Elephas maximus indicus: one gene and its partners. The protein of the gene in region 2 binds, or shares a complex with, the protein of the main gene of each other region. Links are inferred from orthologs where the notes say so. Each region holds a gene or a part of one and is shown on either strand. Other genes may lie near its edges.

What was found.
Region 1: the proteins of TGFB1 (region 2) and LRRC32 are in contact, whole or in part, in a cryo-EM structure (PDB 8VSC), measured with the Homo sapiens proteins. The link is inferred for Elephas maximus indicus from reciprocal best matches to the Homo sapiens genes TGFB1 and LRRC32. Residues at the interface, in NP_000651.3 of Homo sapiens: Leu30, Ser31, Thr32, Cys33, Lys34, Pro325, Pro327, Tyr328, Ile329, Trp330, Ser331, Leu332, Thr334, Gln335, Tyr336, Val339, Leu342, His346, Ala353, Pro354; in NP_001122394.1 of Homo sapiens: Ser135, Tyr137, Glu158, Ser160, Thr162, Val184, Met186, Asp187, Ile188, Glu189, Asp190, Phe193, Leu202, Leu204, Arg206, Asn207, Ser208, Leu209, Thr210, Cys211, Ile212, Ser213, Asp214, Phe215, Ser216, Leu217, Leu223, Leu225, Cys227, Ser229.
Region 3: the proteins of TGFB1 (region 2) and TGFBR1 are in contact, whole or in part, in a crystal structure (PDB 3KFD), measured with the Homo sapiens proteins. The link is inferred for Elephas maximus indicus from reciprocal best matches to the Homo sapiens genes TGFB1 and TGFBR1. Residues at the interface, in NP_000651.3 of Homo sapiens: Ala279, Leu280, Asp281, Asn283, Tyr284, Tyr328, Ile329, Trp330, Gln335, Lys338; in NP_004603.1 of Homo sapiens: His39, Leu40, Thr42, Lys43, Phe55, Asn68, Met70, Ile78, Phe84, Val85.

What each region holds. Positions count from the first base shown.
Region 1 is NC_064825.1:45,847,953-45,854,813, forward strand, and holds the start of LRRC32 (transforming growth factor beta activator LRRC32), read left to right. Parts: upstream 1-3,840; 5' UTR 3,841-4,789; intron 4,790-6,861.
Region 2 is NC_064829.1:109,836,986-109,844,341, forward strand, and holds the start of TGFB1 (transforming growth factor beta-1 proprotein), read left to right. Parts: upstream 1-4,336; 5' UTR 4,337-4,342; coding exon 4,343-4,697; intron 4,698-7,356. Other genes in the region: B9D2 (B9 domain-containing protein 2), read left to right, coding at 2,130-2,443. UniProt on the Homo sapiens protein: Transforming growth factor beta-1 proprotein: Precursor of the Latency-associated peptide (LAP) and Transforming growth factor beta-1 (TGF-beta-1) chains, which constitute the regulatory and active subunit of TGF-beta-1, respectively.
Region 3 is NC_064827.1:48,995,652-49,002,646, reverse strand, and holds the start of TGFBR1 (TGF-beta receptor type-1), read right to left. Parts: upstream 3,022-6,995; 5' UTR 2,934-3,021; coding exon 2,849-2,933; intron 1-2,848. UniProt on the Homo sapiens protein: Transmembrane serine/threonine kinase forming with the TGF-beta type II serine/threonine kinase receptor, TGFBR2, the non-promiscuous receptor for the TGF-beta cytokines TGFB1, TGFB2 and TGFB3.

The DNA.
Region 1 (6,861 bases), on a different chromosome or scaffold from region 2:
CCTCCAGGAGCCTCTAGGCCTCTCAGCCCCTGCTCTCACTGACCAGAATCAGAGCCAGGAGCCTCCTGTGCGGTGGCCGAGGGCTACATGAGGCCTCACCAGCACATGCTTCTCTATCTTGGTCACTCCAAGTGCCTCAGTGATGAGTGACTCGCACTCACTGAGAACAGAAAACCAGCCAAGCAAGTCTCTGGACACACATGAGGGCCTTGGGGTCTGAGGACTAGGATGAGAATGTCGGTTAGCTGTGTGACTATGGGCAAGCCCCAGGATCCCTCTGAACTTCAGTCCCTCTTCTATAAAACAGGGGCAATGACAGTCCTCCCCTGGTTGGATGGCTGTGAGGAGGAGCTAGCTCAAGTAGAATGCGTGGCACCAGGCCTGGTCCTGCAAGCCCTCATTCCCATTAAACAGATCAGCTATTCCTCAGAGTGCGGGACAATCACAGTGTCTATAAACATTTGTTTCCCCAAGCATCTGATGGCTTTTGGCTCACACTCCCTAAAGCTGACACCAGCAACATTTCTTTCCCTCTCCTATTGTCCTTCCGGGAGGTGGCCTATAGCTAGTTTGGCCTAAGTCCAGCTGCCCTAGGGAGTCAGGGGAAGGTGGGCAGGGGAAGAAATGGGGAACCCAAGGTTCTGCCCCAGAAGGCAGGGCCCCAATAGGGGCTGATAAGGGAACTCCCTGACTCCCAAGGGCCCACATGAGTACTGAGCAGGGGTACGGGGTGAGAAAGGCCATACCTTTGCACCAGGATCTGGCCCAGGAGGCAGGAGACTTGGGTTCAATTATTAGCTCCAAAGCTGTGTGACATGGGCCAGTTACTTAACCTCTCTGAACCTCAATTTCCTTGTAGTCACTGAAAGTAAAGACAACTAACCAGAAGTTTTCTGTGGCTGTCTTTACCTGATTTGCCACATGAGATGAAGGGTTGGCCCAGAGTCGGTGTTCGGCAAAGAGCAATAGAAACTGAATAGGGGATCTAGGGCACCATGGTCCTTCTGACTTCAGATCTACAGCTAGATGAGGACAGCAAGGCTCAGAGAGGTTGAGTAACTTGTCCAAGGCCACACAGGACATGTCCATCATTGCCTTCCGGGGCCACCTGCTCCTATGTGGGACCCTTGGCTTCATGCTGGCCTGAGCTAAAACATTGCCGGGGAGACTTAAGACCTGACTTGGATCAGTTGGTGCCTGAGAGGGTTTTCACATCTCTGAAACAGATGTGCCTCCTATCTTCACTGGCAGAGAGGAAGCATTTTGACAAAGACACCAACACTGTGAAGTCTGAACTGTCCCTGGGTGGCATGTCCAGAACTCCCTACTCCTGGAGGTATGCAAGCGGGGGCTGAGCAACACTGGGTAGAAACTTGGCCTTCCTGGCCTTTAAAGAGTGCCCCCTTCCACAACGGGTTACCAAGTAAATCCAGCCTTGCTCATTCCCACCTACCCCCTCCTCCTTCAGAGCTGCAGACTCGATCTCAGTCTTGCAGACTTTGCCTTCGAGTCCCCTAGGCACTAGTCATCCTCTGTGTTCTCATCTGCCTCCCCTCTGGTCTGGGAGCTCCACAAGGGCAGGCACTGGACATTTTCATTCACCAGCTACCCAGGGGCCCCCAGGAAAGGAGGTCATGGTTACTGAGCAAGTACCAGGGGCCAGGCTTCTGACCAGGTACTTTAAACATGTTGTGGTTGCATTGATCTTCACAACAAGCCAGGACCTTAGGTGCTATTATCATTTTCACTTTGCAGATGAGAAAACTGAGGTCAGAAAGGTCACACAACCTGCCAAAAGTCACACAGCAACAAGACTGCTGAAGAAGTGAAGTGATAAAAGAATGGGTGCCGAGCATGTGGGGTTCCCGGCTTTTAGGGCCCCTAGTCCCAAGAGGTATCTGCAGTGGGTGGGCACACTTGGTTGCCCACCTGTTTCCAACTCCTGGGGAGCCCCATCCGGGCAATGAGTGAGGTGAAACCCCATGATCTAACTAACCACAACCACAGCCTTTGGTGTGGGGGGTATGCAAGGTGGGCCACTCACCTCCAGCCTGACAGAGCTCCAGCCCTGCCCTGCCCCAGCCTCAGCAAAGCTCTGGGCCAGCAGTTTCTACTTGGCGGCAGCTCCAGGAAGGAAAGGGTGAGGTGGCACTCAGCCGGCCTGGGCCTGGAGCAGGGTGGGGCAGACGAGCCCAGGAACTGCCTGAATCCAACTCAGTCATGTTCTACCTGAGCTGAAGGGCTGCTGCAAGGCACTTCCCTGGATATTTGTCCCCTTGGACAAGGACATGGGTGCAGGCCCCAGGCTCACCCCATTACACTTCGTTCTGGCACCAACCTGAGAAGTGGCAACTATCTTCTCCACTTGAAGGACAGGCAAACTGAGGTTCCCTTTGATCAGATGGAGCACCAGGGCCCAAAGGGGGCTTGGTTTGGGTCAGCTGGAATGACCCCTATGAGCAGAGTACTGCGACTTCCTGTGACTGGGAGGAAAGCGGCAGGTCTGGGTACCCTTCCCAGATCCTGCCCTGGTCCCTCACCTGTAACCTCCTACCCACCCCCTCATCGCAGCTTCGGCCCTCTCCTTAGGGAAGCCTTCCCTGATTTCCTCTTCTGAGGTTGGTCAGGACCCCAGGCCACCTGCTGTCACCTCTTGTCTTCGCTGGGCTGTCCCCATCTTCCCAGATTAGTCTCCACATAGACCAGACGGCAGAAAGGAAAGGTAGCAGCCATCTAGACTTCAAGGAGCCCTGGTGGCAGAGTGGTTGAATGCTCAGCCGCTAATTGAAAGGTTGGCTCCATGGGAGAAAATATGGCAGTCTGCTTCCATAAAGATTACAGCCTTGGAAACCCTAAGGGACAGTTCTACTCTGTCATATAGGGTTGCTAAGAGTTGGAATCAACTCCACGGCAATGGGTTATCTAGACTTCAGGGAACCTGGCTTTTAATTCTAGCCTTACTCCGATTTGCCGCAAGGCTTGGGTGGTCACTTTCCCACCTGGAAAATGGGGACACCCACTCTCAGGGCTGGTGACCATCAGGGAAGAAAAGGATTGCAGAAGATGAAGTTTCTACCCTAAGAACCAGGGCCTGGGGGACAGCAGTGATTCCTCCCCCAGGCACCCCCCTCCTTGGACCCACATCCAACAGTACCTGTAATTTGGTAGGGCCAAGGCATTTAGAAGAAAGATGGTTTGGGGGAAGATTTTCTTCAACCTCTGATGAAGAAGGCAATAATAATACCCACCCCCTCCCCCCCGCCCCCCCGCCCCCCGCCGCCCCACACACAAATTTCCACAGCACTTAAAAAAAAAAAAAAAAAAAACCCAGGCCAGACGGTGCCTGGAAAAGACACCCAAACTGACCTGGACTCAGCTTTGTGGACACACTGGGTTTGAAGCCTTGCTTCTTACAGGCGGTGTGATTTTCAATATGCCATTTAACCTTTCTTACTGAGTTTCCTCAACTATAAATGGAGACCTTAAAAGTCCCAGAGACTTTTGGTTTTTATTTCTCTATTCACTGCCGCCACCCTTAGCCTCAGTTTCTCCATCTGAAAACTGGGGACTTTGACGGTACTGCTTTACAGGGTCTGTTAGGGGCCCAGGAGACGATGGCGGAGGGCGCATCTTGACACTAGAGACGGCGCAGAGAGGGGCAGCGGCCTGCCGGGACTCAGCAGCAGGGACCCGAGCGTCGCTGTGCGGGGAAGCCCCTCCAGGGCCGCCTCAGGGCCAGTGAGGGGTCATTTCCTTCCGCGTTCAGCCACACCGCCACCTCTCCTGGTGGCCCCCCTTCAGTGCGGTGGCGCCGGCAGCGGGGAAGTCGGGGCCAGGCCGGATTTCCTCTGCGGACCTGCGGCTCCTGGAGCCACCCGCCCCTCCAGACCCCGCGGGGCGCCGAACTGCACGTGCAGCCGCCCGGGGCCGGGCTCGCTCCTGCGGCGCTTCCTTTCCACCCCTCTCTCTCTCCCTGGCCCTTTCATCCCGCCCCCTGCGCCCCTTCCCAGCCCGGCTTCCCGCGTAAAGAAGATGCTTCAGCCCATCTGCCAGTTCCGGATAAACCGAGTCCCACGGGGGCGCGCGACCGGCGCTAGGACCCCGCGGCCTCGCCGAGGGGGGCGTGGTGGGGCGGGTCGGCGGGAGAGGCTTTTAAATTGAATCCGCGGCCGCCCCCTCGCGGGTCCCGCTCCCTGGGGCAACGGAGCGGCGGTGCGCCTCCTCCGGCCGTGACCTCGGGGTCTGGCGCAGGGTGGGACCGGGGGACAGGTTTGCGCAAAATGTTCCGGGACCGCCGAGGAGAGGAGCGGCGGCCGCGCTGAGCCAGGTAGGAGCCGCCCAGGGGGCGAGGCTGGCTGACCTCCTCGGGGAACAGACGGCCCGTGCCCCTCGAGCGTACGAGGGCTCGAAGCTGGAGTGGGGCCACCCTGGGAAGAATCAGGACCCCCTGCCCAACACTTCCCTCCCACTCTCGTCGGGGTTGACACTCCCTCAGCCCCGAGAGGTCTCCAAGGCGGCTGTCTCATTGGATCTTTCAGGCAAAGGGGCGAGTTCGCTGTTCCTATTTGACAGATGGGCAAACTATGGCGGAAAGGCCGAGACTTGCCCAGGAACAAACAGCTAGTGAAGGGCAGATCAGAATTTGATTCCAGGTCTCCTGCCACCCTCTGACCCAGGCCCGGGCACAGGGCTTCCCATCCCACACCCCCAGACAGCCTGCCATCTCTCAGGAGGAAGGAGGAGTTTCCCACCTCTGCCAGGCCTCTGAAGGCAGCCTTCTCCATGGGTGGTAAGATGTGAGGGACCCCTACCTCCACTCCAAGCTGCCTGAAATTCCACCATCCCAGCCACATTCCTTTGGGTTAAGGTCTAATTCCCCCGTGGGATGCACATATCTCCAGAATGGGACTTGCCCTTCGTGATTCACGCTTGGTGTGAACGGTCCACATCAGCTCTCCCAGAAACCCTGCTCTGCCAGTAAGTTCCATCGGGGCTGAGAGGAGGGAGAGGAAGCATCCCAGAGCCCAGCAGTGTGAGAATGTCTGTGTGTGTACTGGTGGGGGATCGTAGGCGGGGAGGGGAGGGAGTTTGGGAGAAACATCTTGGGCTCGTGGAGTGGAAACACTGAGAGAGAGTGGCCCTTATGGAGCCCTGGTGGTGCAGTGGCTAAGTGCTAGTTGGCTAACCAAAAGGTCAGCAGTTAGAATCCACCAGCCACTTCTTGTAAACTCTATGGGGCAGTTCTACTCTGTCCTATAGGGTCGCTATGAGTTGGAGTGGACTCAACAGCAATGGGTTAAGGGTGTCTTAGGTGCGGCTGAGGGGCCCTTTCCATCAGGTGCCAGGGCAGAATTCCTGCATGCTGCAGGGCAGCCCCTTCAGGGCTCAGAGAAGCTCACTTTGGGGTGGCTTGGGGTGGGGTTTGGCAGGCAGAGGAGAGAACATAAGGGCCCTTTGGGCGACTTCTGCCTCCAGGCTCAGAACTAAACCACTTGGTCCATCCTTGTTGTCACCTCCCACTCACCACTCAGCCCACTGCAGTCAAGTGTCTGCCCCCACTTTGCCACTCATTCAGTAGACCCTTAGTGAGCGCCTGTGTAGTAAGTTCCTGTTCTCATGGCATAAGAAATAAATTATCAGGTAGTGATAAAGGCTAGGAAAACAATGAAATATGTGAAGATCTGGGGAAGAGCATTCCAGACTGAGGGGTCAGCAAGGGCAAAGGCCCTGAGGCCGGATCAAAGGCTGGGCCTTGGCGAGGGCCGAGAAAATGGTAGATGCAGTCAGAGAGAGTTTTGGGCACAGTCTGTTATTTTAAGGGAGATGGGAAACCATGGAGGTTTTTAAGCAGTTAAAGATTCATGATCTGATATGTGATTTTATGATTTTAAAATATCACTCTGGCTGCTACGTATAGAACAGATTGTAAGCCTCAGGGCGGAAGCAGGGGAACAAACTGGGGAGGCTGGTGCTGTGATGGAGGCCCAGGATCCTGGTGGTGCCTCAGCCTGTGGCGGTGATGCAGGAGGGAGTCGGCAGGTCTGGGAGCTGTTTTGCAGGGAGAGCAGACAGACTCTGCCGATGGGGAGAGGGAATGTGGTAGGGAGGTGAAGGGAGAGTCAAGGAGAATAACTGCTCTTGCCAGTGTCACCCTATCACCGAGACACTCCTATCCCTGCCTGCCCCAGATGGGTCCCAGAGAACAGTGAGCACCCCATGCCCTATAGGCAGTTCCCCTAGGGGGAAGGTGCTGTGCTCACTGGAAGCTCAGGGGCTGCCGGAGCCATATGTAGCCCAGACTTGGAGAACCAGGTAAGGCTTCTTGAAGGAAGCTGAGACCTGAAGGGTGAGGAGAGGAGAGGAAGTGAAGGTTTGGGGCAGTGGAAAGGTGCTCAGAGAGCTGACGGAAGTACAAGGCATCCAGAAGTCAGAGTGGGAGAGAGGGCCGTGAGAAACAAGGCTGGAGGGGGCTGCTGGCTGGGCAGGGCATGCTTCTGAGGACCTCGAAGGCCCCCACAGAGGGATTTTCACTCAATTCTGAGGCAACTAGCTTTCAAACGGGTTGTGTTGTTCAGCTTTTTAAACAGCAGAACAAAATCTCGTGAGAAAGCCCAACTTGTAAAACCTGAGCATAGAGCAGCTGTGGGGGCCTGAGGGAAGCCCAGGGAACAAGGTTTAAAGGACACCGTGGTGGCCCTTGGTGTCTGAGCAAGAAAGGGCCTCAGAGCAGCCTCCTGCATTTGAAATTCATCCTCATGGAATTTGTCTGACAGTCAAAGACACAGCCTCCAGAGGCCCTGTCAATGCTTCTTCAAAAGCATCCTTCAGACTCTCTGAGAAAAAAGGAGATCTTGCCTGGCT
Region 2 (7,356 bases):
TCCCTATATTAGATGATGCCAGGAAGATACCAGTGACTGAGATACCCACAGCCCTGTTCTCAGGGGCCCTACCATCCAGTGGAGGAGACAGACCTGTCCCCACACAGTGACAGCCCAAGTGGACAGGGCTGGGGTGGGGGGCCCCTGGGGCCTGGGAACCGAGAAGAGGTTCCTGACCCTGTCGGGGAGATCAGGGAGGACTTCCTGGAGGAGGGGACATTTGAGCTTTGATGTGAAGGGCTAGTAGGAGCTAGTGAGGCAAAGGACTGGAAGAGAGTTCCTAAGCAGAGGGGCATCTGAAGGACTGAGGGAGGGAGACTAGGAGGGCAGCAGGGAGTGAGGTGGTAGGGGACAGGCCATGCAGGGCCTTGAACACCAGGCTGAGGACCTGAGGCCATTTGAAGGCACTGGGGTGCCAGGGCAGGCGATGGACAAACTGTATTTTGCTTTTAAAAGATCTTCTGGCTGCCAAGTAAGCAATGAATTGGGAGGATGAGACAGGCAATTCTGTCCCCCAACGTTGGTCCCCTCCCTGGTTCACCCCCGGCTCCACCCCAGTCTGTTCCCCACAGGTAGCCAGCGGGACCCCGTGAACATCCAAATCAGATCACGTTCCTGCTCTGTCAGAGCCCTCCCTCCCCTGGTCCCCGTGCCACTCAGGGTAAAAGCCAAAGCCTTCCTATGTTGTCTTAGTTCTCTAGTGCTGCTAGAACAGAAATACCACAAGTGGGTGGCTTTAACACACAAATTTATTTTCTCACAGTTTAAGAAGCTAGAAGTCCAAATTCAAGGTGCCAACTCCAGGGGAAGGCTTTCTCTCTCTGTTGGCTCTGGGGGAATGTCCTTGTTTCTTCAGCTCATTTCCTGGTTCCAGAGAGATCTCCACATGGCTTCGCATCTCTCTTCCCCATCCCTGCTTGTTCTGCTTGCTCCTTTAATCTCTGTTATATTTCAGAAGAGATTGACTCAAGATACACCGTACACTAAACATGCCTCATTAACATAACAAAGACAAATGAGATTATAACCACAGGCATAGAGGCTAGGATTTACAACACATAGTTTTTGGGGGGACACACTTCATAAAACAGGGATTACAGGTCCCTGCACCATCTGGCTCTCACCCACTGCCCCTCTCTCCCCGGCACACTCCAGTCCAGCCCCACTGGCCCTACCAGGCACCCTCCAGCCTCAGGGCCTTTGCCTTAGCTATTCCTGCTGCTGGCCATGCTCTTCCACTAGATGTCCACATGGCCCCCTCGAAGCCTTTGCTAAAATGTCACCTCATTGAAGCCTTTCTGGACCACCCCTTTGTAAAACTGTATCCCCACCCCTACCCTACCCTGCTTAATTTTTCTCCAGAGCAGTTATCACCATCTGACATAGCCTGTAATTTACTTATTTACTATGTTTGCTGTCTAGGATGTCAGCTACTCAAGGGCAGGAATTTCTGTCTGCCTTACTCATGCTGGATCCCCAGCTCCTAGAACGGGGCCTGGCACAGAGGACGGGTTCTGAAGGGAGGGTGGGCCAGGGCCAGATCTCCAAGGGCCTCGGCCACCAGCCTGAGGAGCTGAGCAGTATTCTGAGGAAACCTATGGAAGGGGGAGAAAAGATGCTCGCGGTCACCAGGGGAAAGGGGGTTGGAGAAGACAAGACAGAAGGCCAGTCAGGGAGGAGTGCAGGGCGGGACCCCAGGGAGGGGAGGGGGAGGCATCCAGACAAGGCCCAAGGTGCTCATCTGAGGACTGGGGAAGCAGTGGGGCCACCCTGAGACGGGGACACGGAGGAGGAGGCCTCAGGGATGTCACAGAGGCCAGATCTGAAGGGTCTTGAGTGTCGAGGAAGTTAGACTTTATGCTGAGGATATTGGGGAGCCATGGAAGGGTTTTGAGCAGAGGAGGAACATGGATTTAGAGAGATCCCTCTGGCTGCTGTGTGGGGGTGGAGCAGGAGGTGGAAAACCAAGGAAGAGGCCTGGGAAGAACCAGGGGTGTGAAGGGAGGAGCAGGCTGGGGTCTCCATTGGGTATCAAGGGAAGGGGATTGAGGAGCAGGAGGCTGGACCATGAATATGCCAGGCGGGGCCTTGCCCATCCCCCCCTTTCCTTGCTCCCTCCGGTCCTACAGGCTGGCCCCGGCTCCATCTCCAGGTGTGGTCCCAGGACAGCTTTGGCCGCTGCCAGCTTGCTGGCTATGGCTTTTGCCACGTGCCCAGCAGCCCGGGCACCCACCAACTGGACTGCCCCACGTGGCGGCCCCTGGGCAGCTGGCGGGAGCAGCTGGCACGGGCCTTCGTGGGCGGTGGACCACAGCTGCTGCATGGGGACACCATCTACAGTGGAGCTGATCGCTACCGCCTGCACACGGCCGCCGGTGGCACCGTGCACCTCCAGCTCGGCGTGCTGCTGCGCCACTTCGACCGCTACGGCGTTGAATGCTGAGGGACTCTGCCTGCAACATCTGGCCCCCATCCACACTCTGGACACCTGATGAGGGGCAGGATGGTACAGTGGCCACGAGCATGGGATCTGGGGTCGGCAGGAACTGACTCCAGCCAAGGCATGGTGTGGCTGCTTCAAACCAGTGATTGTGCCTTTTGGCCCCAGTTTTCCCATCTGTAAAATGGGGACTGTGAGGGCGGGGTCATGGGAGCTTGGGAGAAAAGGCTGTGTAGCACATGGGAGGTGCACAATAAAGGAGAGCGATTCTTACAGGTGTATCTGCCTTCTTGACTTCATCTGACCTCTGCCCTGTGCTCCTTCCTTCCACTGACACCCTCCCTCCTCAGGGCCCACCTTTTGACAGGTCTGCTTCCCCCCTCCTCTGCCTCTCCACCTTCAATTCCTTCCTATTCTGGGTGCCTCTTCTTTGACCCCCCTTCCCACCCTGCTGTCTTTTGACCTCTTCTGCAGCCCTATCCTTTGACCCCTTTCCTGGGTACCTCTCCTCTGACCTCTCCTATGCCCCTATCCTCTGATCCCCTCTCCTAGACACCCCTGCTCTGACCTCCAATCCTGCACCCCTACGGTCTGACCCCTCTCGTCCTGGACATCCCTTCTCTGACTCACTCCCGTCCATCTTCTTTCTGACCCCCTCAGCCTCTGTCTCTTTCCCTGCTCTGGGTCACCTCTTTTCTGATCCCCTTTCCCCTGTGTCCCCATCTTTTGACTGAAGCTTCCCCGACAGGTCCTCGTTCTGTGACCCCGCACCCTAGTCGCTGCTTTTGTAGCGCTCGGCCGCCAGGAGGCAGCACCCTGTTCGTGGGGCGGAGCCGGGTGCTCGTCTCCTTCCCCCCAGGGCTGGAGGGACCCCCCTCGGAGCCCGCCCACGCGAGATGAGGATGGTGGCCCGGCCCCCCCATGCCTTCCCCCTGGGGGCCGCTCCCGCCCAGCGCGCTTCCTGGGTGGGGCCGGGGCGGCTTCAAAACTCCCCGCTGCCCCAGCCGGTCTCCGCCGCCGCAGCCTTTCGCTCCCAGGGCCGTACCCCTCCCTCCTCCCGCCGCGGATCCGCCAGACAGCGAGGCCCCCGGCCGGGGGGAGGGGGGACGCCCCCTCCCGGGCACACCCCCGGCTCTGAGCCGCCCGCGGGGCAGCCTCGGCCCGGAGCGGAGGAAGGAGCCGCCGAGGAGCAGCCCGAGGCCCCAGAGTCTGAGACGAGCCGCCGCCGCCCCCGCCGCCGCCGCCGCCACTGCGGGGAGGAGGAGCGGGAGGAGGGACGAGCTGGTTGGGAGAAGAGGAAAAAAAAGTTTTGAGACTTTTCCGCTGCCGCTGGGAGCCGGAGGCGAGGGGACCGCTTGGCGCGGCGCTGTCCCCCAGGAGTCAGGACTTGGGGACTCCGGACCCTCCCCCCGCCTCGGAAGCTCGCTCCCTCTCTGGCCCCCACTCGGCGTCCCCCAGGCGCCCCATTCCGGACCAGCCCTCAGGAGCCGCAAACCCGGACTCACACGAAGACTTTATCACCCCCAGACCTCGGGCGCACCCCCCTGCACGCCACCCTCTATTCCCAGCCTCTCTCCTAAACCCCGGAGCACCCGAGGACTCTTCTCCCCCAGGAGACGAGATCTCTCTCAGAACTGCCTCAGCTTCCCCATTCAAGGCCACCCACCCTCTGGTTTCAGATCTTGCCCATCTCGGTTTTTCACGTAGGATACCGAGGCACCCTCCCCCCGCCCCGTCAGAGCCTCCCTTCCACCCCTGCTCCCTTCTTCCTGAGGGCCTCAACTTTCCCCCCAGACCTTCCTACCTCCCCCTGGGAGACCCCAAGCCCCTGCAGGGGCGGGGCCTCCCCCAACCCCATCCCCGTTCGCGCGCTCGGCAGTGCCGGGGGGCGCCGCCTCCCCCATGCCGCCCTCCGGGCTGCGGCTGCTGCCGCTGCTGCTGCCGCTGCTACGGCTGCTAGTGCTGACGCCGGGCCGGCCGGCCGCGGGGCTGTCCACCTGCAAGACCATCGACATGGAGCTGGTGAAGCGGAAGCGCATCGAGGCCATCCGCGGCCAGATCCTATCCAAACTGCGCCTCGCCAGTCCCCCGAACCAGGGGGAGGTGCCGCCCGGCCCGCTGCCTGAGGCCGTGCTCGCCCTCTACAACAGTACCCGAGACCAAGTGGCCGGGGAGAGCGCCGAGCCGGAGCCCGAACCCGAGGCGGACTACTACGCCAAGGAGGTCACCCGCGTGCTAATGGTGGAAAGCAGTAACAGTGAGCTCCGAGGGGCAGGGGAGCCGGGAGGGGAGCCCCCAGGGGGCGCCGGAGTGCAGGGGTCAAGGGGAGGAAATGGGCCCCTGGGGGCACCGGGATCAAGGGAGGTTCCAAAGAAGGTGGGGCTGAGACCCTCGCAGGTACCAGGTCTTGAAGAGGAGGAGTTAGGGAGCCAAGTAGACTGCTTTCAGGGGGCATCAGGAACATGCGGGATTGTGAGGGGAGTCCCCTGGAGGGACAGAAGCAGTTGAGGTGGGGAAGACTAGACAAGAATGGCGGTTGTGGAGTGGGGGCTGCAGAAAGGAGAGTTCGGTTTGGGAGAAGCGAAGACCCCAGCTTTTGGGAAAGGAGAGGCACGAGGAAGTTGACCCAGAGCTCGGGGGTCGTTAGGTCGTTGGCCAGGAAGGTTAGGAAAGTGGGAGAATGGACCACTTCCAGAGGGCGCGAGGAACACATGGGATTGGGGAGGGGAGGTTCCCAGAGAGAAAAACAGGGAGAATGATAAATACCAGGAGAGAAGGACGCGGGGTCGTGGGGAGGAGGCTAGCCGGAGAGAAGCCGACGCCCCAGGGGGGTGCCGGAGATGTGCGGGAAGGTGTTGTGGGTGCTTCGCATTGGGAGGTGAGAAATAGAGGGTGGAGCCCAGCGGAGGAAGCGACCACCCAAGAAACCTAGCCTACAGGGCATGTGAAGAGGTTTACAGAGAAGGGAGACAGCGTGGGAAAGGTGGATGGAGGGGGGAGGGGAAGTAGTGCGAGCCCCTATATGCCGCGGGGTGGAAGGGAATGGGCTAAATGAGGAGTCTGGCCTTCTGAAAGAAAAAGGAGGGGTGGATGGGGACGACTCTGCAAGCGGGGAGTGAGAACACGGAGCTGGCGGGGTGAGAAAGCCCCACGTGGGCGCCACGCGCGGGGGGAGGAGCCCCGCTTCCGCAAGGGGGAAGGAGGACCCCGCGGAGTTAAAGGCTGGGAGTCAGGACCCCAAAGTCTCAGTTCCTCTCGTGGAGCCTGGGGAAACCCCAGCGTCCGGTCGCCTCACCCTCCCTTCCCGTGCCCCGAGGGCGAGGAGGGGGGGCCGGGGATCGCGCGCGGAGCCTGGGGCGAGACGAGACAGGTCTGGTCCCCGCCCTTGCCGCTGCGTCGTCGCCCGCCCTGCTCACCCCGTTGGGGGTGGAGCGACCGCTGGGCCCGCCCGTCCGCGCCCGCGCTGGGACCCTGGAGTCCCGGCGCCCCGCGTGGCCCAGAGGCTTGGGGGTGATCCCCCGGGGTTCACTTTTTCGCTAGAGCAGTAGACTTGCCGGTCCCCGGGCTGCTTGTGCGCCCAGTTTTCGGGTCCAGCCAAATAACACGCCCCTCATCTGGTTCTCTCTTCCTTTTCCGTCCTTCACCTTCGTTGTAGAGCTTTCACCGATACCCCCCTCCCGCCCCTGTTCTTTCTCTCTAGACTGTCTCTGTCTCTCCCCGAAGCCCGCGTGCCTCCCATCTGCCTGTACGCCTTTCCTATCCCCCCGTCCATCTCTTTTCCTGTCTGTGCCCTTCTTTCTGTCTCTTCAAATCTCCCTCATCCCATTACCATCCCACTCGTCTCTCTGTCCGGGTGTGGGTCTCTGGTTCCTGTCTCTCCTCTCTCTCTTCCTCTCCCCGTGTCTCCGCGGTTTCCCCATCTCTCCCTCCTCCTTGCAGCGCGCTGACCCTGCCTGTCCTTCCTTTCTTTCTCCCTATCTGTCTTGCCCAGCCCCGGCTTTCCCCTTCCCTTGGGGTGTGCTCAGTAACCGCTGGGCCAAGAGTAGGGTTTGTGTATGGGCGCAGGGCAGGGAGTGGTGAGGAATAGGGGGAGGGGGCTACAGGATGGGGTTTCCTCTGTCATTCCCCCTCAGAGCCTGTTTCCACCATCCCTCACCCCCACTATAGGAGACCCAAAGCAGTGGCTTCCAAGTTGATCCAGGAGTTTATGGTCTGCCTTCTCACCCCCACCCTTGAAATTTTCCTAGACTGGAAAATGGCCTTGTTAATTCTCTTCTTCCCCTGCAGCCATTCTTACCTAAGAATGTCATGAACTTCTCTAACCAGCTAAAGAGAGAGTTAAGGGAGGAAGCAATTAATAATAATAATAGTCATTGGCAGGGAGACAGCATAGCCTAGGGGATAAGAGCACCATTTGGGAACCGGAGGGCCTGAGTTTGAATCCCTCCCCTGCAGCTTCCTAGCTATGTGACCTTGGGGCAAATTGCTTCACTTTTGTGCCTCAGTTTCCCCATCTATAAAATGGCTATAATAGTATTTTCTTTGTAAGGTTTAACTATTTTAATGCTTGTAAAGTACTTTGAAAAGCGAGCGCTCTTTAACACACACATTATTGAGTGACTGCTGTATGTATGCAGGCTCTTGTGCTACATGTTTTCCCTGGATTGTCTCATTTATTTTGCACTGTGTTCTGCCATGGGTCCTCATTTTACAGACGAGGGTCTGCAGATCAGAGAGGGGAACTCTTTGGCCCAAGGTTACACAGCGCATCAGTAAGGAGAGTCTGGATTGGAAGGCAGGGAGATTGATGTTACGGTGATTTCCCAAAGAATAACAGGAAACCAAGGCCCAGAGAGGGGCTGTGACACAGTCTGGAGGCAGCAGAGGCATTGTCTGATCGGAATAGAACTGTGCTC
Region 3 (6,995 bases), on a different chromosome or scaffold from region 2:
AAAACCTAACACTCATCAAATCCCTGTCTCTGCCCATCTGAATTCTAGCCACCCTTCAAAAACAGCTTAAGTCCTAAAGTGTCCAGGAAGCCTTCCGCAATCACTTCAGTCTGTACTAATCATTTTCCTCTTTGAATACTGAAGCCTCTATGGGTGACAGTAAAAATATGTAACAACTGGCATCGCTAGGGTACCAACCAATCAGAACTGCCAACCTTTCTGGTGAGCAGCTGAGCTTTTAACCACTGCCCACCAGGGCTCCACCCCCAAAAGGGGACAAAATTAATTATGCAGTGGAAAGACTGAGCAGTCAGGAGTCAGGGGGAAAAGAGAAATCGCTGGAACTGAGGGTTTGCACTAGTGAAAGGGTGAGATTCTCTGGTCTGATACTCAGAGATGGTTCTAATCATGGGTCTCAAGTATATGCTCTAATGGCTGAATACAAATAGGAAGTCTTGTAAACCCTTCCTGGGGATCACTGAGGAAGATTAGTTTGGCAGCAGCCTGTAGAAAAGACCAGATGAGAGAAACAATGGAAAGCAACTAGATTCGAGGGATAACGGGCAGCTGGCTGCATACAAAGAGGCATACTTAAGAGGCATTAATAAAAAAAAAGAGTTGGGTTTTAGGCATGTTTTCAAAGAAAAAAAAGTTATGAAATGGCAGAAAAGAACCTGCATTCTCAAATGGGATATATATGTAAACATAGTGGTATGAAACTCTGCACTAGGGATAGGAAACCATTTTCCCTAGAGAAATCTATGCTGTAGAAAGCAGAAGCCAGGCAGAGAAATATAAAATTAACAGCCAGCCGATAAAGAACTACAAGTTCTTGAATAAGGAAGGCAATTATAAAGAAAAAAAAGCTTCTGAGCTTAGCTTCTTCCGTATGTACAAAAAGGATGAACTGAAACATCAATATGAGCAATCAGGGCAGGCAGACTAGTTGACGTAGTCTGGGCTTGGAGTAATAAGCATCTGGATCAGCTTTCTATCGTATGCATGCCAATGTATTCTGTAAACTCCTTCAGGGCTTGGGTTGAGCAATGTTCTGTACAGCCAATTAAGTCTAATACTGTTACCTGAATACATGAATATTCTGTCCTACAATAACTGGAAAAGAGTGAATTACGTTATTCAAGTTAATAGTGATGTGGAAATGTCATTTCTGTTTGATGTATAACTATGCTGATTCTACCACAGGTCCACACAATTATCTCCTCTCCCCGAGGCCAGTATCAAAAATCCATTGTTTTTTCTTGTAGTTTCAGTGTGAAGGGACTCAGGAATGTGCTGGCAGTTAGAAAGAAGGCAACCTGGTATTCAAATTTTGAAGCCAAAATCTAAAAGTGAATAATAAAGATCAATCACTATCAGATGACTGAACAAGAAAAATGGGCCGGGTAAGACAGTCTGGCATATATAAGGTGTACAGGCTTTGGAAACAGAGCCCTGGATGCAAAGATGCAAATCCTAACTGTAGCACTTAGTAAATGAGTACTTAACCTCTCGCCTCAGTTTTCTCATCTATAAAACGGGGGCAAATGCCACTAGCCTTGAAGATTTAGTTGTGAGGATTAGCTGAAGTACTTTAGTGTACTTTATGCACCTACATCATAGTAAGCTCTTAAAACACAGTAGCTATTCAGACTAATAATTGACACCCTCAGCCTTGGGTTGAGTCTTTTGTTTTTTATACAGGGTGTCCGATTTCAGAAATAGGAATGTACTTTTACTATATTTCAGTTGCTAAAACTAGGTCCATATTTTAGCTTCTAGTATTGTCATTTGGTTTGTAACACGAAGTTTTTCACCCTGTACTCCATTTGGGTAGATAACCACCTACCCCATCCTGATTGAGTATTTTGGAAAACCAAGCAAGCATTTTCCCTTGAAAACCAGCTATGCAGATGACTGATTCAAACTACTGTCACTGGGGAAAAGAAAGATCACTAGCATTCTTCTTCGAGGAAATAAAAGCTTTTGATAAATTCACAGAGTAATTCTCATTCAAACATTCCAAACCCCGCAGAGTGAGCAAACGTTCCATTTTTTACTATGAAAACAATCCGTAGCCGTCTGGTTACTGGATTCGCTTCAACACTTTCCAGACGCACGAAAGAAGAAACATTCCGCACATCTTCGTCCGCCTCCTTCCACACAAAGCTTCGCAGCTCCCTCGCCAAAGGCACCCCAGGCTGTGGAAGCAGCCTCTCTGAGCAGGACCGGGCCGGGGCCAAAGCTGGGGGCAACCCTAATGACCCGGGGGTCTCAGCCACAGGTAGCCCCCTCTCACCGCCCGGGGAAGCCTGAAGGCTCAGAGCTCACACTCTGCCTGGGAAGCTTCTTTGGACCCCAACCCCGCCCCGGACCCCTGGGGCCTCAGGCACCGACTCGCTTGGGGTGGGGATACCAGGGACAAGGCTTCACAGTTCCCTCGGCGGAGGTCAGCGGAAGGCCCTGCTCTGCTCGCCCGGGCCACCCTCGCACCCTCAGTCCTGGGCCCTCACTCACTCACACCCCAGAGCGCAGCCCCCGGCCTCGGACGGCTCCGCCCGACGCCACCTCTCCGGGGGAGCGCCAAGTGGGGCGGCCTCGGGCTGCCGGGCGTCCACCCGCGCTCGGACACACGCCCCCGTCCAGCCTCCCCACCGCGCCTGCGGTTCCGTGGCGGGGGCCTGGCCGCGCCGGGCCAGGGAGCCCAACACGCGCCCAAGTCCCGGCCCCGGCGCCGCCACCTGCGCCCCCGGCCCGCGCCATGTTTGAGAAAGAGAAGGAGCGAGCCAGAGGCCGGGCCCTGCCTGCGCGCCCGCCAGCCGCCCGCCAACCCGGCCGCGCCGCCACTCACCCGTCGTCCCTGGGACCAGCGTCGCCGCCGCAGCTAGCACGAGGAGGAGCAGCCCGGGACGCGGAGCAGCAGCCGCTGCCTCCATGGTCCCGCCGCCGCCGCCGCCTGTGGCCCGGCCCGGCCCGGCCGCCGCCTCGCCTCAGCAAGCCTCGCCTCGCCCCACCTCCCCTGCCGCCGCCGCCGCTGCCGCCGCCGCCGCCACCGCCGCGGCCTCGCTTCAGCCCTTTGTAACTGCTCCGGAGCCGCGAGTCCATTGGCTGCCAGGCTCCCGCCGGCCCCGCCTCTCCGCCGTCTGCGAACCGCCCAGCGAAACCCAGCCGGGAGCCCCGCCCACGGGCCCAAGTGGCAGCCAATCCCGAGCTGCGGGGCACGGCCGCCGACCACGCCCCCAGCACTCCCCCTGCGCAGGGCGCCCAGACCCCAAGCCCAGCCCGCGCTGCTCCGGGCTCGGAGGCGGCCGGGTGGGGGCAGGGTCTCGCCAGCCCCGGTGCGAGGGCGTCTCTTGTCCCGGATGGGCGAAGGCTGAGAGACGGGTCTGTCTGTGAGTCGTCGGAAAAAGGCTGTGGCCCCTCGACTGTCTTTTAGCTTCCTCTAGACACCAACGACCTGGCACTGACCTCCACCCCAACCCCAACACATTCTGCCCAGATCCGCAGTGTCCTCAGGCTTCAACTCTCCGTCCCCAGGTCCGCGCTTCAACTTTCAACATCTGCCCCCTCAAAACCCTTTCTCGGTGCCCTTCCTTTACGACTCAGTCTCCTGTTTACTCCTGCTCTAGCCCAAGTTCCAGGCTCAGAAAATTCCCAAATCCTAGTCTCAGAGCCCAGCCTCGGACCCAGATCCTGAGCTCAGACACACCCCCCAATAGCCTCCCTCCAGAACTCAGAGAAGACTCAGGCCTTCAAACTATTCGTCTTCCCCGTTCTCCCTTCCTGATCCAGGTTGGAAAGGGAAGCCCCCACCCCACCAAAGGAGGAGGATTCCCCTTCTCAGCACCCGCTCCCACGGGGCGTAGGAGAAGCAGGCATTACCTTGAGCTGTCTGACACGCCCATACAATAATTCTGAGGTGTCACTGAAAACCCAGATAAACTCAACTACGTTTTCATTCTGAATTCCTAATTTACTGTGAGGCGCTCCACCCACCTTCCCGCTGGGACACCGAAATGAGCTCCAGATTTATAATTCTTCCTGTCAGACTGATCCTTTCTTCAGACACAAACACAGCCAAGGAGGCTGTTACATAGAACAGAGAACATTCTTCCGCAGAACCTTTTAAGGAGAAAACAGTTCTATTTTCTGTGTGATTTGAACTTGGAATTAAATAAATGTTGGTTGAAAGACTCATACCCAACCTCAAGTAAACTACTTTAGCGCTATTGGCTGAGCCTTTTACCCACCTATTTAGACTTTTTTTTTCAGTGAGCTGTCAAGTGCGAGGGCTGGGGGCATTGGACTAGAATCTGAGACCTGCTCTAGTCACTCCTGATGAGAACACTTAGCCTTTCTGAGCCTCAGCTTCTTCTTCTATAAATCGGAAATAATATCTGCCTCCCAAGGTTACTGAAAGACTATGATGAGATTTTGGGGTTCCCTTAGCCCCTTTTAAGTTCCATTTCAAAGTACTCCCTTCAGGCCCCTGCCTACTCCCCACCGCCCAGAAAGGTAAAGGCATGGTATTCACTGAGCCGTGGAAACTTCCCGGTGGAGCTCTGGACCACCAGCCACAAGCTCTACTCCTCCTGGCTGCTGGCAGGCAGAGATGCTGCTGTTGGCAGGCTCCAGCCCCAGTCTGCTCTCTCAGTCCTCAATGGAAACTTGGGTAAACCAGGGCCCCGTGACACACAAGGTCTCTGGACTGTCTTTTCGATGCTTTATTCTCAATGTCTTGCATAAAATAAGAGCTCTCAAGAGATATTTATTGTACAAACGAACGAACGATTCGCCTTTGAAAAGTGACTGTTCTCTGAACTTTAGGTTCCTCCTCTGTAAAGTAGAGATAACCGTGCTGTAATGCCTACCCCATTTGTAAATAAAAAGGGATTGAATCATATGTCTTGGATTCCCTAAATGATGCGCTGTGTCTGGAACAGTGTCTGGAACATAGTAAATATTTAGTTAATGCCATTTCCTTTGCATATCCCCCTTCCAGCTCTGTATGATTCTATCCAACATTTATGTTCATATTAATCTGTGCCTTTGCTTTACAGAGCCTCAGTCAATCCATGTTAAGATATCTTCCATGACACACCTCCAGTTCCTTAACATTTTCCATGGAACTGACTGCGTTCAATAGAAAACTGAGGAAGAGGAAGGAGGAACAGAGTATTTTTAAATTTTATTTTCCTGATATTTGGAGGAAATTTCCATGAGCCACGGATCCACAAATAAACTACATTGGAATAGACCAATAAATTGTAACTTTAAAATGGTGGTTGTGAGACCTTAAAGTGTCTCCAGATTACCTGGGAAGCTTTTAAAAATGAAGATCCCAGGGGTCTAGCCCCCAGAGTCTGGCTTCAGTTGACTTAGAGGGGGCCCATAAATTTGCATTTGCAAAAAGCACCCCAGGTAATTCTGCTGCAGGTGGCTGCCATGCTACATTTTGAAAGTGGTTTAGAAAGTATAACCTTAAAATTCAGTAAATTAAAATGAATGAGCTTGTTCCACCTTTGGAGAAAAGATGAACAGTGGAAAGAAGCCTTTGACTTTGGGGGCCTGCAGACTTTAGTTGGAATTCTGGCTCTGCCACTTACTAGATCTGTGCACCAATGTAGATGCTCTGAGATTTAGCAAGCTCCAGTGCAAAATGGAATAATATTCACATATTGTTCCTACTCATATATTTGTTATGATATCTAAATGAGCTCTTGAACATAAGCAATTTATCATAAAACCTAATTCCCATAATAGGTTCTATAGGCTTGTAGGTTATCTACTCCAATGTCTAACTTACAGGGGAAGAACCCGAAAACCAGTTCCCCAGCAAGTCTGGTGCAGAGCCAGGACTAGGAGACTCACTGCAGTGCTTTGTTCCCTGCACAATACTACTTCTCATTCTTTATGCTGAGTACATTGTGTTTGCTTTTCCTTCTGTTTTCATATTTACCCCCGTATAGAGCACGGAGACTCCTAGTTGCCTAACTTACGTCCATTTCCCCATATGCTTTATAACAGAACCCTGATTTACTTTGCTAAAGAAATCCACCTAGCTAAAAAAAAAAAAAAAAAAAAACCTCAATTTTCCAGGCTTCCTTGCAGCTAGGTATGGCCATGTGACTGAGTTGTAGTCAGAGAAATATAAACAAAATCTGTCAAGTGGAGCTTGTGGGAAAGATGTGGTTTTTCTCATAAAGAGACAGATTCATCACATTCTTTCCTTCCTATTTCTGCCTGCGACACAGTTTTAATGCCTGGAGTTACAGTAGCCATCTTGTGAACATAAGGATGATGGCCATAAATGGAGATGGAAGGTAGAAAAGAAAGATGGAGAGATAATGGGTCCTTGTGGACATCAACTTTTTTTTAAGTATCTGTCCAAGTCTTTTGCCCAAGTCTTTTTATTAACGATTTGTAATATATATCTATAACCCAAACCCACCCCAGTACCGTCAAGTCGATTCCAACTCATAGCGACCCTATAGGACAGAGTAGAACTGCCCCATAGAGTTTCCAAGGAGCACCTGGTGGATTCGAAATGCCGACCCTTTGGTTATCAGCCATAGCACTTAACCACTATGCCACCAGGATTTCCTAATATATATCTATATAACCCGTATATGAGTCTTTTGCTGGATATATGTATTGCAAATGTTTTTGCTCAGTCTGTTATTTTCTTAACATTGTTTTCCCAAGAACAGGAGTTTTATCCCTGAGGGACTGAATTACTGGGCTGAGGGCTGGGGACCGTGGTCTCAGGGGACATCTAGCTCAATTGGCATAATGCAGTTTATAAAGAAAATGTTCTACATCCTACTTCAGCGAGTAGCATTTGGGGTCTTAAAAGCTTGTGAGTGGCCATCTAAGATAACTGCACTGGTCCCTCCCCATCTGGAGCAAGGGAGAATGAAGAAAACCAAGGACGCAAGAGAAAGATTAGTCCAAAGGACTAATGGACCACAACTACCACTGCCTCCACCAGACTGAGT